Linked DNA regions of Xenopus tropicalis. The protein of the gene in region 1 interacts with the protein of each later gene in a biochemical or structural test. Links are inferred from orthologs where the notes say so. Each region holds a gene or a part of one and is shown on either strand. Other genes may lie near its edges.

Evidence for each region.
Region 2: of the proteins of ikbkb (region 1) and map3k14, one has a biochemical effect on the other in vitro, tested with the Homo sapiens proteins (3 studies listed by BioGRID and IntAct, with this or other methods). The link is inferred for Xenopus tropicalis from reciprocal best matches to the Homo sapiens genes IKBKB and MAP3K14.

Annotation. Positions count from the first base shown.
Region 1 is NC_030679.2:130,593,655-130,597,835, reverse strand, and holds the start of ikbkb (inhibitor of nuclear factor kappa-B kinase subunit beta), read right to left. Parts: upstream 2,924-4,181; 5' UTR 2,659-2,923; coding exon of another isoform or gene 2,647-2,658; intron 1,006-2,646; coding exon of another isoform or gene 937-1,005; coding exon 880-936; intron 1-879.
Region 2 is NC_030686.2:17,598,771-17,601,655, forward strand, and holds part of map3k14 (mitogen-activated protein kinase kinase kinase 14), read right to left. Parts: coding exon 2,877-2,885; intron 1,841-2,876; coding exon 1,690-1,840; intron 1,286-1,689; coding exon 1,028-1,285; intron 384-1,027; coding exon 280-383; intron 1-279.

The DNA.
Region 1 (4,181 bases):
ATAGAGGGGGGAGACACACAGTAAGGAGGGAAATTAGCATGGAGACATATGGATAGGAACATGGAGCACAGAGATCGAGACACTAAGGAAGAAATTATAGCCCAGTGCCACATAACACATTAAGCATATTAAGGAACAAATAAATATACAATATTACAGACGCACAATGCCCAGTGCCTGGCAGCATGAAAAGGGGATGTGCAGCTGCAACTGGTCCAAGCAAAGCACACAAAGATATGGCGGTTAGCAGAATGAGGAATGGGAGGAGAGAATGCAATTGCAGAAAAGGCAAATGGATAAAAATTTGCAGAGGAAAATGGAGAAGAGAAGGAGTTGCAGCAAGCACCCAAGGGGAAGACAGAAGATAACAGATTTTAGCAGAGAGAGGTTATTAACTCTTCACTACCTTTTCCTGGATCTACATTTTTCAGTTTATTTATATCCAGCAATATTCCTATTTTTTTTTATAAAATGGAAAAAGTTTGAGATTATCAGGGATTGCTATCACCTCTCTGGGTTTCATACCCTGTTTCTCCAAAAAAATATGATTGATACATGGTGCCATGGGGAAACCTAATCCTGAAAGAAAAGGGGGTGATGGAACCACAGAGCACAAATATATTGCCACAGATTGGCAGTAGAATCCAGTGAGGCATATGGATTTTTAACTATACAGGGCACAAACCAGATGTTACTGAAATACAACTGGCGGTTGGAGATGGAGAGGCTCAGGATTTCCATCAATCGTAGACACTACATGCATTGACATGAGCTTGATGGGGGGTCATGGGCATAACCATGTGGCAGCGGAGCAGCCTGTGCCGCAGCGACATTAGTGAGAGACCACACAACGGACTAGTTAGACACATATTCCCTTACCTGGTGAATCCAGCGCAAGACATAACCAAATCCCCCAGTTCCCAAGCGTTCCTTCATCTCCCAGGGGCCACATATCTGCGTGTGTGAGGGTGGCGGTGCCCAGCCGGCCCTGCCAGGGGAGGCATCCTGGGAATAAGCAACATAAGACAAATGACTATAGATAAGAGCAGGACTGAAGGGAGCAAGCTGACCCAGCAGAAATCCTCATTTTAATACTAGATTATCTGATATATTGACTACATGGTCACAGGCCTAATATATAGACTACATGGTTACCAATGGCCAGACATTCGCCAACGGGCAGCCTGGCATGTCACTCGCCCATAGGCAGTCTGACACGACACTCGCCCGCGGGCAGACTGGCTCGACAATCGCCCGCGGGCAGCCTGACACGACAATCGCCCGCGGGCAGCCTGACACGACACTCGCCCGCGGGCAGCCTGGCACGACACTCGCCCGCAGGCAGCCTGGCACGACACTCGCCCGCGAACAGCCTGACTTGACACTCGCCCGCGAACAGCCTGACTTGACACTCACCCGCAGGCAGCCTGGCACGACACTCACCCATAGGCAGCCGGACACGACACTCGCCCGCGGGCAGCCTGACACGACACTCGCCCGCGGGCAGCCAGACACGACACTCAGCCGCGGACAGCCTGACACGACACTCAGCCGCGGACAGCCTGACACGACACTCAGCCGCGGACAGCCTGACACGACACTCAGCCGCGGACAGCCTGACACGACACTCACCCATAGGCAGCCGGACACGACACTCACCCGCGGACAGCCTGACTTGACACTTGCCCGCAGGCAGCCTGGCACGACACTCGCCCACCAGAAGCCTGGCACATCACTCACCCGCGGGGAACGCCTGACACGAAACTCTCCCATGGGCAGCCTGGTACGTCACTCACCCATAGACAGCCTGGCATGTGACTCACCCATTGGCAGCTGGACAAGACATTCACCCGCGGGCAGCCTGACACGTCACTCACCCATAGGCAGTCGGACACAAAACTCGCCCGTGGGCAGCCTGACACAACACTCGCCCACGGGCAGCCTGGCACAACACTCGCCCATAGGCAGACTGACACAACACTCGCCCATAGGCAGACTGACACAACACTCGCCCATAGGCAGACTGACACAACACTCGCCCATAGGCAGACTGACACAACACTCGCCCATAGGCAGACTGACACAACACTCGCCCATAGGCAGACTGACACAACACTCGCCCATAGGCAGACTGACACAACACTCGCCCACGGGCAGCCTGGCACAACACTCGCCCATAGGCAGACTGACACAACACTCGCCCACGGGCAGCCTGGCACAACACTCACCCATAGGCAGACTGACACAACACTCGCCCATAGGCAGACTGACACAACACTCACCCATAGGCAGACTGACACAACACTCGCCCATAGGCAGACTGACACAACACTCGCCCACGGGCAGCCTGGCACAACACTCGCCCACGGGCAGCCTGGCACAACACTCGCCCATAGGCAGACTGACACAACACTCGCCCATAGGCAGACTGACACAACACTCGCCCATAGGCAGACTGACACAACACTCGCCCGCGGGCAGACTGACCCAAGACACCCCAGAGGACAGCCTGACCCAACATTTACCAATGGGCAGCCTGGCCCAAGACTCACCAACCAATATGGTTGCTACCTCCCCCCTTTAATACCAGCCACACAATTAATTTAGATGAATGCTGCAAACTGAAGCAATGTATGTGTCCCTTACCTGGTGTGTCATATGCAGAGCCGGGGGCGTGTCTGTCTGTCAGTGTGTGAGTGTGTGAGTGAGAGGAAGAGCTGGGCGCCCTGCCTGGCCGGCTGCTTGGTGCTTCCCAGTACTGGGGTATGAGGTACAGAGCCTGGGGGCAGCTTGGGGCTACAGTGAGAGGCAGTCCCGCAGCATGACTAGTGCCCCTGGGCACAGCTGAGTGTGTGACTACTAGAGCAAACCCCCTACTTGCCAGCCTCAGTGCCCCTGTGTTGCTTCTCAGCTCTCAACATCCATTTCCTGGTATGATGTCACCGGAGGGGGCGTGGCTAGGCTTAAAGGTAAAGCGCTGTTGTTTTGGTTCCGGGTTCCCATAGCCAGGGATTGGCCCTTAAACTAGAAATCCAGTCCTGGTGTTAAAGAAACCGAATCCTGCTCTATAAGTAAATAGGGAAGCAAAGAAAGAGAAAGCAAAACCAGGAAACAAGGGGGATTTCACCTTCAATTAGGGCTGCTTTACTAAATGGGCAAAAGGAGCATCTGCCCAGGGCCCACTGAGTCACTATTATTATTGTTTTTATTTAATTTACTGTAAGATGTACTGTGAAAGGAGCTGGGGCAGAAGTGACAAACAGAAGGAGTCGGCTGTGTCCTATTCTGAGCCCTTGTATTCTCCCTCCCCCTGTGGTGCTGTCTCTCCGGGGGGAGAAAAACAGTAATGGTGGCCATACATGTTACAATTATGATCTTTCCTGCGACGATTGGTCACAGGAAAGATCGTCTGTACCCTCCACTTAAGCTGGCCATACACGTGGCGACCTGACGATGTTTCGTGCGACCATCGGTCGCACGAAACATCGTCAGATCCGCCACACACCATTCAGAGCTGAATCAGCAGGTAAGGAGTTAGAAACAATAGGATTTCTACCTCCTTCTGCCGATTCAGCTCTGAAGGGAGATTTTGGTCAGGCGCCTTCTATGGCGCCCAATCAAAATTTTTAAACTGGTCCGATCGGCGAGTTGTCCGATATCAGCAGCTTCCTGCTTCGCCAACATACCATACACGCACCGAATATCGTACAAAACGAGGTTTCGTACGATATTATCGGTGCGTGTATGGCCAGCTTAACGTTCAGAACTAATCGCCAGGTATGCAGGTAGAAACAAAGGAATTCTACCCCTATGTGAGGATTCAGGGCTAAGGGCTAGCCTTTGCTCAGGCGCCTCTAAATGCCCCATCCCTCTCGATCGATGAGATGACCGATATCCAAGACCTTTGCTGATATTGGTTGTGTCTCTCCATGCACGCACCGGATATCGTATGTTATGACTGGTGTGTGTATGGCCACATTAATAGAGTTGCCAGCAGTCTGGAATGTGACTGGCTTTTAACCCTACGGAGTGGCCCTGCAAGACAGTTCCTAGATGCACTAGGTATAGTTAAAAGCAAGGCACATTCCAGAGAATTGGCAGCAAGTATGCACTCCTAACAAATAAATCCAGCGCTTACAGGCTGCCTGACGGTGATGGGATTTGTAGTTCAGCATGATGGC
Region 2 (2,885 bases), on another chromosome or scaffold:
GAGAAGGAGAGGAAGTTCACAACATGGAGTGGAGAGAATATGTACTAAAGAAAGGAATAAGAAAACTAAAGAGAATCAAGTGAGAGAAAGATAAACAATATATATACTGTCAGTGGGATGTGGGTTGAGGATGATAAAAAGCTGAGGTTAGGGTGGCAGGGATACAAGAAAGGAGGGAATGCCAGAAAAAATAGAAGATGGGATGCAGGAAAGAAGTAGATGTAGTGGTGGAAAGGATGTAATATAGAAGTTTCTTCATCAGAAAATCTTCTGTCTCACCTTGTGACTGCGATGCTGATCCCGGTTGTCCTCACTCAGACAGGACAACATTTGCTCCTGTTCTTCCAGGGAACTTGCCAGGAACAGATCAGTGAGAAGATATTCTACAGAAGATGCAAAACAGAGGGCTCATTTATAATCACAAGTGCAAGTACTTAGACTAGTGTAAAATTATGCACACTGGGATCCTATTCAGAAAGGTACTTTTTAAAACTTGCACATAGTGCCATTGTGCCCATTCAGCCTCCATTAATGAATTGCATGAAAATGCAGATGCAAGAGAACCCTGGAAATAATGCCCACCTTGACATAGTGTTACTTCCAGGGTTTTATTAGCTCAGCAAATAATATAGAGTGAAGGGCAGTAGGTTCTGGTACTTAAAGTATAGTATATACAATAAGAGGCATTATACAGAGTGTGAGGTGGGGGATTCTTGCAGCACAAAAGTACATTGTATGCAGTCAGAGGAGTGGAATATAAAGCAGTGGGTACTAGCTCCCCAAGTTCATTAAACTGATTAAGAAGTAGTTGGCATTGGCAGACCAAAGAATATTATATACAATATTAAATACAATGAGAGGCCATGGGTGCTGGCACCCCAATGTGGCAGAGCTGTGGGAATAACAACATATATTAAACTGCCTCTCATTGTATAATGTTTTTTGGGGTTCCAGATCCTCTTACTGTGATTGGAGAGACTTTTAGTGGGTACATGTTATGGTGACAAACGCTCCTCTGGTGGCTCACCTCTTTCCTTCTGCTGAATTTCCTTCCCACACAAGATGTTTGGCTGCACTGCCCTGTTGTCAGTCAGGCCACTGACCATCTTCTCCTTGCTAGGTTCTGGCTTAGTTTTGTTAGGATTAGGCTTGGTATCAGGCATGGCAGGTTCATGTTTGGAAAGAGGGGTTTCAGATGCTACAGCAAGGCTGGGGGGTGATGTGGTATCTGGAAAGCTCCTGAGCATTTTGTATTCAGATTTCCATGGAGATTTCAGACCACCGACTAGAAGACAAAATACAAAGAAATGTCAATGACAGAATATTACTGATGGTTCCTGTGGAACTGTAGTTTACTTATAATAAAACAGCCACATGCTTTTGTCCAGGGGGAGGAATATGATTATATCCCATAGCTCTTCTTTATGTCAACCAATCATGATTCTCACTGTGTATCCCATGCACCTTAATATCAGTTTTAAGCCAAATGACAATTCAGTAATAAATGTTGACAGTTTAACTTATATACAGGGGCTAGGGGAAACCTCCAACAGAAATATAATTGCAAATTCATATTGAATAATGACAATTTAAATGATGATTTAAATGAAACTTGAGATATCTAAACCTTACCACAATTTGCAGCTTTCCTATAAATAAAAATATACATATCTTATTAGGTATTCTTACTTTTATGCAAAGCCAAATTCACTTTCTCCTGTAACTTTGCTGCCGTCACTCTACTGGTTGGATCTTTTTCCAGACCCGCTACAATGACCTCACGTGTTCGAGGATCACAGGTGGGGGGTATCTCCTGCACGGGGGGTGGCTCAGTGGCAATCTATACAGATGGTAGAGGAGAAAAAGATGTTTATCTGAACTCAAAGAGAAATCATCATCTAACCACATTATCATCACTGAAGGAGGACTTGACCCCCTGCAAATCCCAGCACCTCTCAAATGGCCTCCATTGCCCCTCCTTTCCTTTACCACCCTCCCCACAGAGTCTATTACACGCAAAAATGTGCCTTAAAAATGGTAGGCAAGTGGTAAAGACAGGGCTGGGCTGAACAGTTGTTTCTATCAAGCACCAGATGTTTGATCCGGCGTTCAGTGTGGATAGCGGCAAATCTGGGTGCTCTGTAAGTGAGCATTAAGAAGGGCACTCTTGCATCCCTTTTGCTTTTGCACTTGTGCCCCTGGGTATAATGAGTGTTCCTTGTGTAATAATAACACAAATTCTCACAATTTGACAATTTGATGTTAGTGGCGCAGTGCAGGAAACTGAAGTAAGGGCAAAACAAATAAATAAATACTAAGCATGGGGTGCAGGAGTTGCAGAAGCACATTGAATACAATGCAGCCAGCTGAAGTATGCTGAGAGTTTTAGTATATAGGGTCATGGTGCTTAACCAAAGCAGTCTAAAAAGATATGGCCTTATTTAATTAATCTTGTGGAGATAGAGCTACCATGCCACTGTCCATATGTGGGCCATTTCATAGTAACATAGTAAGTTAGGTTGAAAAAAAGACACACGTCCATCAAGTTCAACTATAATGCCTATATATAACCTTCCCAAATGCTAGTTGATCCAGAGGAAGGCAAAAAACCCATCTGAAGCTTCTTTAATTTGCTGCAGGGGGTTGAAATTCCTTCCTGACTCCAAGATGGCAATCAGACCAGTCCCTGGATCAACTTGTACTAAGAACTTTTGTCCATAACCCATCCTTTTTGGTCTTTGCTTTAAGAAAGCTCCAAAATCTTAAGTGCATGGGAACTAAGTCATTTGTTAAGGGCTAGTGAGAAATGCTAGAGATTACAGTGCAACAAGAGCTGCAGATAGGAAGGTTGGCATCTGACAGCACTTCATACTCACTTTCAGGCA